Struthio camelus: one gene and its partners. The protein of the gene in region 3 purifies or fractionates together with the protein of the main gene of each other region. This does not show direct contact. Links are inferred from orthologs where the notes say so. Each region holds a gene or a part of one and is shown on either strand. Other genes may lie near its edges. The genes, in order: BET1, VAMP3 and STX7.

Evidence for each region.
Region 1: the proteins of STX7 (region 3) and BET1 purify together in Homo sapiens (affinity purification with mass spectrometry; 3 studies listed by BioGRID and IntAct, with this or other methods). This does not show direct contact. The link is inferred for Struthio camelus from reciprocal best matches to the Homo sapiens genes STX7 and BET1.
Region 2: the proteins of STX7 (region 3) and VAMP3 purify together in Homo sapiens (affinity purification with mass spectrometry; 3 studies listed by BioGRID and IntAct, counting the BioPlex papers as one, with this or other methods). This does not show direct contact. The link is inferred for Struthio camelus from reciprocal best matches to the Homo sapiens genes STX7 and VAMP3.

What each region holds. Positions count from the first base shown.
Region 1 is NC_090943.1:28,177,571-28,181,315, forward strand, and holds the start of BET1 (BET1 homolog), read right to left. Parts: upstream 2,141-3,745; 5' UTR 1,834-2,140; coding exon 1,815-1,833; intron 1-1,814. UniProt on the Homo sapiens protein: Required for vesicular transport from the ER to the Golgi complex. Functions as a SNARE involved in the docking process of ER-derived vesicles with the cis-Golgi membrane.
Region 2 is NC_090962.1:232,332-236,076, forward strand, and holds the start of VAMP3 (vesicle-associated membrane protein 3), read right to left. Parts: upstream 2,559-3,745; 5' UTR 2,429-2,558; coding exon 2,427-2,428; intron 1,122-2,426; coding exon 1,040-1,121; intron 219-1,039; coding exon 60-218; intron 1-59. UniProt on the Homo sapiens protein: SNARE involved in vesicular transport from the late endosomes to the trans-Golgi network.
Region 3 is NC_090944.1:71,940,283-71,944,027, forward strand, and holds the start of STX7 (syntaxin-7), read right to left. Parts: upstream 2,415-3,745; 5' UTR 2,310-2,414; exon of another isoform or gene 2,293-2,309; intron 2,122-2,292; exon of another isoform or gene 2,093-2,121; intron 1,888-2,092; exon of another isoform or gene 1,744-1,887; coding exon of another isoform or gene 1,704-1,743; exon of another isoform or gene 1,631-1,703; intron 979-1,630; exon of another isoform or gene 852-978; intron 1-851. UniProt on the Homo sapiens protein: May be involved in protein trafficking from the plasma membrane to the early endosome (EE) as well as in homotypic fusion of endocytic organelles. Mediates the endocytic trafficking from early endosomes to late endosomes and lysosomes.

The DNA of each region.
Region 1 (3,745 bases), on a different chromosome or scaffold from region 3:
TCTGTAAGCTTATTCAATGACAAAGCCTCAGCAAGACTGGGTAAAAATGCATGTTTCTATTTCAACACAGCAAGAGGAGAGTTGCTGTTCGCTTTTAAAATCAAATACACTGATGCCAAGTGCAGAAAGTTGACTAAAAAGGAACCATTTTAGAGTTAAGGGTGTGTCCACGGTCCTTGTTCTACAAAGGCATCTAACTACAGTACTTCCTATCAAATGATTTAAGATTTAATATATGCTTATAAGTTAATAAACCATGTAGCTTGTGACTAAAATACTGTAATTATATGATTCTTATACAGACTGTGACATAAGAGATGTCCCAAACATCTCTTAACAACTGTCCAAAAGCTTTTAAATAGACACATCTACTTATATCTATTGAAAATGCTACAGAAACCTGGCTACTAACGTTTAAAAGAAGAGCAGACGCTTCAGCATGGCAGTTACATAGACCATCTTGTAACATGGCTCATTACTGCCCTGACAGGACACGTAATATAGACGTGACCATAGCATAACTGGAGACAAAAAAAGGCATGAGGTACCTGGAGACAACGGCAGAAGTACTACTGCCAAGCTCCTATTTTCAGCCTAATAAAAAAAAATGTATTATTCTAGATGGATTGTTGAAATGACAAGGCAAAATTTAATAAACCTGCATGCTACCAGCAAATTTTACTGCAACTGATAACAGCCGTAAAGATGTTTAAGTTTCTTCTTAACCTTCCTTTTTTTTTTTTTTTTTTTTTTTTAAAGATGTACTTCATGGCTACTCTCTAAGCCGTTGATTGCCAGAGACATTAGAAGAAAGCACATTCTTCTTCTTGTATTCTTTTCACAGACATCTGTTATTTCACACTTTCAGAAACAGCATAATGAGCTCGCTGACTTTCAATCTAGCCTCTGCATTTCCAAGATTTATTTTAACTTGTACATATACTATTAAAAACAAAACAAAAAAGTGGAGAAGTAAGTCTAGAGCAGTATTACCGAGACTATAGGTCTAACTATGCAGAATTCATCAGCCAACAAACATTCACTTAGAGAAATTTCTTTCTAGGAAGAAGTAACAGAACTTGGTCATAAACTTCTGGGGCATGAACTTCACCACACTGTCTAAGTTTTGCAGCGAGGTAACAGCACCTATGAGGTCCTACAACATAGCACAAGAGTTCAAAGTTTCTTTCACTGGCATCGACGTGGCTGGTCAAAAAATGGGCCTCGAGCTTCTCGAAACTCGGCAGGAACTCTCACAGACTTCTGCATTTCCACCAGATTATGTTTGCTGTAAAATGACAGTGGGTTCCCCCCCACACACCAAACACAGCAAGAAAACATACAGAAGCATTAAACTTAAAAAGCATCTGAAAATTTGGAAGTGATTTGACTGAAGAGGGACAAATCCGTCCATGCATGGAAAATGGCTCAAGCTGGCACTGCACTGGAACCATCCCGAGACAACACAGGAACAAGAATAACCGGACATCCCAGCGCAGCTCCCCGAGCGACGCTGACTCGGAAGCGAAGCGGGCCGGCCCACGCCGGCGGATCGCGAGCCGTCCGCCCCACACACCCGCCACCCCACGGCGGGGGCACGGCGAGGCGGGCCGAGCCCGCGCGGCCCCAAGGCGGCGGGCGGGACTGCTGCCCGGCCGGCCCAGCCGCGGGCACCGCCGCCGGCTGCGGAGCACGGACCCACCGCCCGCTCCCCCGGCCCGGCCCCGGCCCGCTCCCGCCGAGCTTCCCGCTCTCTCTGTAACCGCCGAGCAGCACAAGGCGCCTGAACGGGCCCGCCGCGACCCGGCGCTTACCCAGCCCCGCGCGCCTCATGGCCGTGCCCGGGGGAGGGGAGCGACTCCCGCGGCTGCGGGTAGGGGACCTCGGCGGGGCGGCTGCGGCCCGGCTCCCGCTCGGCTGCCCGGCTCATTCACTCCGCCAGCGCCACGACATCGCTCCGCCGCCGCGCCGCCCGCTGGGTAACGCAGGCCGCCGCGCGCGGGGCTTTCTGGGTAGTGTAGTTTCTCTCGGGGGGGAGGGGGCGGTGAGGCGGCAGCGCCGCTGAGGGCAGCCGCGGCCCGGCCCTTGGCGCCTGAGGGCGGCGGGCGGCGCTAGGGCCGCGCTCCCTGACGGAGACGCCCCCTCCCAGAGCCTCAGGCCTCCCCCAGGCCCAGGGGTGGCTCTTCCGCCATCTTCTGGCGGGCGCGTTACCCCGAGGGGCTCTGCGGCCCTGGACCGGCACCGCCTTTTGCTGGGTCTCGGGGCACCGCGTGTTTTCCCAACAGGCCTTGGAAATGGCAGGTGCATCGCTGCTTTCCTGTTGTTACTTTCCTGTATCTTTAAAAAAAAAAAAAAAAAAGGAGCAAGCTCTACTGAATATAACCATTTATTATGAATTTCTGCAATAAATTACTTCTTTAAGATTGTGTTAAACTTTGAGAATTGATCCTGAAAGAAAAAATAAAAGCCTCTCAGCCTTCATTTTAACAGGTCATCAGTACCCTGTTGTTTTGTTAGAAAAAGGAAGGATTCTCAATGATTGTCTTTAGTTGTAGCATGCGGTCAAAAAATGGAAACGGAGGGCTGAGTTGAGCCCACCCCTCTTTTGGCCTGTTTATTTTGTAAGCAACAGGCAAGCTACCGCAGCATACCGCAACTCAAACTGGAAAACTCCAGATTTCATTATTATTGATTCTTCAGTGCTCATAATGATTCAAATTTCATTTGCAAAGATAGTTTCTTCTCCACTATACACTTTAACCTCTTGTAATGCTTTGTCAGAACTTGGTTTTATCTCCTTTTTTATTAAAGATGTGACTCATTCTTTATGCCATTGTATTGAATTTATTTCCCAGGATGAAACCAGAATGGTTTATCAGTCCTCAAGCGTAAAGCAAACAACGTCATGGAGTCAATTTAGTTTGCTATTTTTGGTGCTGCATCCACTGGACTAAAGAAGCTAAACTGGCTTCTCCATTTATAACGAACTACCATCCCCTTAATTCCCTCGCGATTTGTGTTCTGGTAGAGCCTGAGAGACACAGTGCTGGACTAAGACCCACTTGTATCATACAAGCTGTATAAACACAGACCAAAGGTCCTGCTTCCAAGAGTCTGCAATATAACAAGCCTTTATCTAGCTGGGTAAAGGTGTAGAAGGAAGAACAGAGTAACACTGGGCAACATGAAAGCCTGTGCTCCCCAGCTGACACCCTTTGTATTGCTATAAGATAGCTCATGTATCCTTTTGCCATGAGTAAAACCCGAATAATTGCAGCATTTCTGGTTTTTTCTATTTGTCAAAGTTGGAACTGAGCTACTAGTCTTGTATCAGCCAAACTTTAAAACAAACCTTGACAAGCTGTTCTTCATTTATTTTCTTCACAGTCACACCTGAATGCCCATGTTTCAGAGCATTATGAAGAGTAAAATGAATATAATGTAGAAATCTGCCTTAAAGTTTATGTAATATTTGCTAATGACTTTGAACAGTCTATCCAAAATTTCAAATAAAGCATTATTTGCGTATGTAGAAAATGGAGAAGAAGGCAAGGGAGAAGAAACAAACTGCAAAATTGCCATTCATACTATGCAGTACGAGGCAAATCTCCATAGAATTTTATCTGAAACTCAGCCATTCTTATATGAGTTTGAAAGCTGCCACCACTGATGAATTGAGACTTAATTTACATTAACTTGGGGAAATACATCAGTTCTTTCAAAAAAGGGAGAAGTGCCCCTTCCA
Region 2 (3,745 bases), on a different chromosome or scaffold from region 3:
CTGCTTTCTGAGATACTGATTGTAATACTGAGTAGTTCAAGTATTCAAGCCACAGTTACCTTACAGTTCTTCCACCAATACTTTCTTTTCAGTTTGGCTGCACTGGTCTCAAACTGGGAAGCTCCTGCTTGCAGCGCATCAGCACGGTCATCCAACTCTGACAGCTTCTGATCTCGTTCCAATACCTTGTCCACATTCACCCTCATGATGTCAACCACCTACATCAATTTAACACTTACAGTAAGTACATCAACTGTATCACCCATTGGAGAGATTAATTGCAGACAACAGATCCCAATACCTGATATTTTTGATATTTTTAATGTTCTCCTAAGGAGTAGGAGCAATTGCCTTTTAGGAAATCTAATCGCGAGCTTCAGTGAAAATGTGCATTTCACATGCAGCTGGAAGTTCCTAATACCTACTTTCAAACGTCAGTACTGCAGAAAAGTTCTCTAAGTTGTGCTGGCATTCCCTGAAACCTGGGAAATTATTTACGACCTACTTCAGAAGGAGTTGAGGCATTTTACCATGACTGACAAAATATTTTTGACATGCAATTCATTTTAAGTGCTATCCTGTTCAAGCAGATAAAGCTGCTCTTAACCGTTAACGGCTTTTGGATTCCTCAGAAATTTGGGCATGTCTTATTTGGAGACGATCAGCTGCCTTTGCCACCGAGGAAAGAAAAGTTTGTTCTCTGTAAGAACAAAGGGTACTATTTTAACTTACGCCCAATCCTCAGACATAGAGTTTGCAGCTAACCTTTAGACGCTGGCAACTTCTCCCCACTCCGGCAGAACAGCAGAATGGAAGTTTTTTGACATGCTGCCACCCCTCACCCTCCCCTTTTTTTTGTTTTTTGTTTTAAACCTTTTCAAGACCCAAAGTGATACAAGTATAATAAGGAAAGCTGAATTATACTAGGCTTCCCTTTCACATAAAGGAATAATAACTGCTGCGGCCAAAGCTTATCTATTTTGCTTATCAGGTTTTCTGAAAGAGACAGAATTACACTGCTATCAGACTAGACCTTTACCTCATCTACTTGGTGTTGTGTTTGTTGAAGACGACGATTACTGCCAGCAGCAACATTTGAGCTTCCAGGGCCGCTTGCTGACCTGCATTAAGGAAAGCAATCATTATTTTATAATCACTTTTTATAATTTTCTTCAAGTTGATAAGCTTAAGTTTAGAAATTATCTGCTGTTCCTGAAAACAGGGACCTTGGATCCTTGGAAGAAATATGGGGCAGTTTCCTTTCCCATGGGAGAAATGAGGTTTTAACCACTGACCTTGGGTATAAATCAAGCTGTGCCCTAAAACCTCCTGCCAGTGAATTAATTGCTTGAAGTGCTAAAAGACAGCTGTGGCTGGCTAATAATGCAACTTGTAATAAGGCATACAGTGACTTCTACAATGGCTCATAGGGCTCAAACATTCAAGAGCTTGGGTTCAGGGGTGTTTTCTTCAGAAAGAATGCAAATACTAAGCTTCAAGACTCAGCAGCTTTCCAAAAATGAAATACAGAAACTTAATGGTTATTCTAACTACACGCTCTTCCAGTGCTTACCCGTTTTGTTTGAAACAGTTGGCATGGAGCCAGAGAAAGCACAATGAGGAAAAAGCATTCAGCATACAGCAATTTACTTGCGGTCAGCTTTTAATTCCTAAGGTCAGGCAATCTAGTTCCTTTTACCAGCTGCAACACTTTGCATCTCTGTAACTGAACCAAGATCCTCTCTACACATTCCCCATGCCCTCTTCGCGGCTTTAATGTCTTTTTGTTATCCGTCTCTAGGACTAGCTGTACTCAATTTGCTCTTCTGTATTTTCATCCATTCTGCATCAGACACACTACTGTTTAGTGCACCTTGATATAAGAAAGATGAATTTGAATATTAGCTATATTTATACATTTTAACCTAAATCTACATTTAAAGGGAACAAAGGTGTACCTGTACAAGGAGCAAACCAGGAAGCCTATGACAGGGCTCAAGAGCAGTCCACATGTATGACAACAGAACTGCTCCTACACCTTGACAGCGAGGTCACCCTTTTATACTCTTTCACTGCTAATCCAAGACTAGACCGCCTTGGTAGACTTGACAGAAGCCCCTTCAGACTGGCCTGAAGAAACCAGGACAGGATAGCCCACCCTAAGCAGAAGACGAACGCCCCAGTGCCTGGGCCAGCGACACTACGCGGCTCTCAGCCACCGCAGCGCCCCTCACGGCTCCAGGCACAGCCGCTCCCACGAGCCCCCCGCCCCGCCCCGCCCCTCCCCGCCCGCCCGTCCGGCCTGCTCCGGCCGCCGCCCGACCCGGCACGGCCCGCCCAGCGCCGCTCGCCCGCCGCCCCGGCTCCCCCGGCCGCGGGCTCCCCCCCCCACCTCGGGCCCGCCGCCCACCCCGGCCCACACTCACATGCTGCCGCCGGGGTCGAGCTGCCGCCCACCGAAAACGTCCGACCGCGCCCGGCAGGAAGTGCGCGCAGCCCCGCCAGCCCTCGCGATGTGACGAGCCGGGGCGGGCCTTGCCTAGGCCACAGCCCCGAGCGGGCGGGGCGGCCGGCGCGTGCCGCGGCCGTTGGGGGGCGGGGGGGGGGTCGGGCGCCACGGCCGTTGGCGGGCTCGCCTCGCGGCCGTTGGGGAGGGGGAGGGTCGCGCGCCGCGACCGTTGGGCTCGCCTCGCGGCCGTTGGAGGGGGGGGGTCGCGCGCCGCGGCCGTTGGCGGGCTCGCCTCGCGGCCGTTGGGGAGGGGGAGGGGGAGGGGGAGGGTCGCGCGCCGCGGCCGTTGGGCTCGCCTCGCGGCCGTTGGAGGGGGGGGGGTCGCGCGCCGCGGCCGTTGGCGGGCTCGCCTCGCGGCCGTTGGAGGGGGGGGGTCGCGCCCCGCGGCCGTTGGCGGGCTCGCCTCGCGGCCGTTGGGGGGGGTCGCGCGCCGCGGCCGTTGGGCTCGCCTCGCGGCCGTTGGGGGGGGGGGCTCGCCTCGCGGCCGTTGGGGGGGGTCGCGCGCCGCGGCCGTTGGGCTCGCCTCGCGGCCGTTGGGGGGGGGTCGCGCGCCGCGGCCGTTGGCGGGCTCGCCTCGCGGCCGTTGGGGGGGGGGGGGCTCGCCTCGCGGCCGTTGGGGGGGGTCGCGCGCCGCGGCCGTTGGCGGGCTCGCCTCGCGGCCGTTGGGGAGGGGGGGGGTCGCGCGCCGCGGCCGTTGGGCTCGCCTCGCGGCCGTTGGGGGGGGTCGCGCGCCGCGGCCGTTGGCGGGCTCGCCTCGCGGCCGTTGGGGAGGGGGGGGGGTCGCGCGCCGGGGCCGCTGAGGTGGTGGCGAGGGCGGGGCGGGAGGTCGGGAACGGCTGTGGCGGCGCTCGCCGCTGCGTCAGGCGCCGCAGGGGTTTCTCCGCCCGCTCCGGCTCTCCCCACCGGTCCAGCCCGGCAGTGCCCGCGGGTGGCCGGGGCGTGTTGCGTGAGTGCAACGCCTGGTGGGAGCGGCTGGTGCCAGGCTGCGGGCACGCGGGCTTGAACCAGGCATCGGCAGAGGCCTCGATGTGGGCTGTGCCTGTGAAGCAGGTAACCCCGCCATACAGGGACTGAGAGGATTTGTGCCGGGGGCGGGGGGTGTTGCTTGTTCAAAGCCCTCTGAACTGTGTGGTTATGCTACCAGGGAGGCCCAAATATGAGTGTTTCCCCCCCCCTCCCCCAGCCCAGTGGCAGACACGCTGCTGTAATTGGCAGGCCGCCCTCAGCAGGCATACC
Region 3 (3,745 bases):
TATACTTAGGCTGAAGTATTTTGGAAAAAAGAGATCATACTTTCCACCTTGTGCTTCTGCAGTTCCTAACATGCTGCATTCCTGGACCACAAAGGGACTCTGGGCACTTCCACAACACCAGAAAACCTATGGAGCGTAATATACATGCAAACAGAACAGGCATAAAGAGTATTCTTCCCTTTCTACTTAAAAGGAATACTAAAGACTCTGGATGTTAACTTCCATCATCTATCTTCAGGCCAAAGTCAAACTTAAATCCACACAGGGTACTGAGGAACAACAAAGTCTCTTTAAAACTTCCGTTGTTCTTATGCAGTAAGTGACATAGACGACATCAGACGGTATTTTTCTATTTCACTCTGCTAAGTTACTGCATACGTTGCACCCCGCAAATCAGTCACATACAACATACAGTAAAATGCTTTTTCAAAGCTGTGTCTACAACCAATATGGGGACGGTTTGATTTCCCTGACAAAGTCTACAGCTGTCCAGTTAATTGTCAGAGTAAAACGGAAAGTGTTTAATTTTTGTAGATTTTAAACTAGACTGCTAACAATTTCTGATTTACCACAGTGACAGAATCACACAGGCTGGGGGCGGGGGGGGGGACTTCAGGAGGTCTCTAGCCTGACCTCCTGCTCAAACCGGAGTCAGGAGTGAGTTTAGTCAAATCCCCTTTTCTCCGGGCTAAGCAAGCCCAGTTCTCCCAGCCTTGCCTCAAAAATTAGGCTGAAACACACCAAAACCAAGTTTTACTTTATGTAATTGCTGGAAGTATTTCTTTTTTTAAATATGAAAAATAAGAATTATCAGACTGTGCAACAAAACACGTTAGTTCTCAAGGAAATACCTTAACAAGGGGAATTATGTTCCCCAGAGAACACAGAGCGTTTAGAGGCCTGACAGCGAAGCTGGAACAGTAAAACACACACTGGATACTGGAACTATTGGGGAGCGAAGGAGAGGGAGCAGCTGGGCTGAAAGAGGAATGGAGATGGCTTTTTCAAAGTGCCCCGTTCCTTATGATCCAGGCTAACAACATCTTACGAGAAAACGAATACAGACCAACGCCACCGAACACCTAGTGCAATACACCTTTTCTTATCCAAACCTCCCTAAAGAGAGCTTGTGCACCTTTAACCAAGGGCTCAGATTAAGTATATTGATGTAGAAATCATCTTTGCGTAAGGTTTGATTGTGCTAGATGCTGATTCTCTCCAAGGCCCACCAAGACGATGACTTAGAAATTAAGACCATGAGGAGTATGCAAAGAGCATCTCTTCCACCTATGCCACCAACATAAGAGTAACTTAGTATTTGCATATGAGGTTACAAAAGATATTGTCATGCAGGATATACAAATACAGTTTATGGCAATGCCTCAACGTAGCATTTAGCATCCCTGTTTTAACGTGTTTTAACTTCTGTTTTCTTCTTTCCTTTTGCTAAGAGCACTCACGTAAATCCCAAAGCTTAAAACAGCAGGACTGCAGTGCCGCCGAAACACATGACGGTATGACTATTAGTCACGAATCCTCCAGGCAGCTGCACAGCACTCGCCCTGCCGGCACATTTCTGCAGCTGGGCACTGCTTGTTTATCAGGGGAAAGGGTGAGAAGACGCGGTCACCTCAGTCCCGGCCATAAGTATTCCCAGGTTTTACCATTAAGTGCTTTGCACTTCATGCAGAGCAGAGCCAAACCTTTCACTTCCTCCTGTAGTTGCAAGTGTCTGCGTCTCATGCGGCAGCAAGGCGCTCAACGAGAAAAGCAGCGATAACGCTGTGCCACAAGCCCAAAATGCCAGGCCCAAGCTCACTATTTAAATATCCGTCTGACTTTTATAATCTTCCTTCCCTCCGCTGACGTGTTTTGCTCATCTGAGGTCTGAAACAACACGGGGAATGTTTTGACACGGCGACGCTGAACATCACCACGGAAAACCAGCCCCGGCCACACACGTGAAAACGCACCATACCCTGTCCCAAATACCGCCTTCAGGCCCCATTTCCCCCCTGGACACACCAGAGCTGACACAAACGTTACCCCCCCCCCCGCCCCGGGGCGCTGGCAGGGCCGCGCCGCCCCTCACCGCGCTCCTGGCCGCCCCTCTCCCGCCGGGCCCCGCGCCGCCGCCGCCGCCGCCAGGCCGCAGCCCGGCCGGCCCCGCGCCCCGCTGCCGCCCGGGAGGCGGCCCGGCCCGGCCCGGCCCGGCCGCCAGGCCCGCCCGGCAGCCGCCGCGGCTCCCACCCCGCCGCCGCCCCGCTCCGCGCCGCGCAGCCCCTTCCCCACCCGGCCGCGGGTCTCACCGGCCCCGGCGCGCCTGCTCCCCCGGGCGCGGCGGGCGGGCGGCAGCGAAGGGGGCGGGCCGGGGCCGGGGCCTGGCCGCCCGGCACAGCGCGGCGCGGCGCTGCGCGGCACCGCCCCGTGCCGTCCCGTCCCGTCCCGCCCCGGCCCCGGCCCCGGCCCCGCCGGGGGCGCCAGTGGGTGAAGGGAGAGTGGGTTTGGGCGCTGTTGGGGGGCTGGTGCCCCGCTGCGTGCCGACCCTGCCGGCCGAGGTTTCTGGGTTGGGGGGGTGTGGGGGGGTTGTTTTGGTTTTGTTTTTGCTGTCTGCATGGGTTCAGGCTTGAAAAGGCGGTAGTCCTTCGAGGGTGCGTGCAAGGCAGTGCGCACGCAGAAGAAAAAAAGGAAATGTGTATGCACTTTAGCCAGCTTGTCAGCACACTGTGATCGTGCATGAGTGAAAGAGTTGCCTATGTGAGAATGTCATTTAAGGAAAAGATGCTGTTGCAGCAGAAGTTTATATATTTATGCACGAGGTAGTGGTGGAACAATGAAGAATTCAATGTCATTACATTGACTTCCATAGCATCCTTCGCTGAAGCACGACTTCCAGTTCTGGTCACTTCATCTCTAAATGGAAGTGGGCACTTCTAGAGGCTGAAGGTGGGTGGAAAATGATAAATTTATTTAGAGGCCTGTAATCAGTAATTAGCTGAGAGAGAAGGCAAGAAATGTTTAGAATAATGAAAAATGAAGGGTACATACACGCATTTGTTAGCAGTCAGTTTAGTGTGTCAGTAGTAACTGATGGTATATAACTGCAAATGCAGCAGAAGACGTGGTACCAGGAAGCAGAGCCAGGAAATGGGGGATCCGTTCCCCTCCTGACCCAGTTACCTGAGAAAAAGGGACAAATGAGCCTTTAGGCCTCTTGCATCGCAGCTGGGAATGCTTCTGGATCCTGCTTGTCTTTTTGAAGGGAAAATTACAGGGTCAGATGTTCTCCAGCGCGCTGCAGGCTGGCCTGCTTGGTGTACAAGACGCTCCCGTGTACATTAAATACAGCAGAGCAAGCAGTGCACGGTATGTGATTGCTCTGGAAAGTAATCTTGTCAGCAAAACCCAGCTTTGTCTAAAGACGAGCTACAGACATTGGAAGGTGTACTCATTTGCCAAGCCTTGACCTGCCTCATAGGCACGGTAGTTTACTTCTGCTATGACATAAAGCTCAGTCATTGCTAAGGTTTAGAAATAATCAGAACAATGAAAACCTTAATAACATCATAATCTAGTAACACTAATAAAGAAGTCCAGTAAAATACAGAGTTCGGTGAAGTTAAAAAGCCTGAAGTATCTACCCTTTTCAGAAAGGGTGCCCCTGACATAGGTGATTTTTAATGTGTCTCAAAGTATGCTGCAATGAGAGACAATGTAGTCTCCAAGACTGGTATAGCTACACATA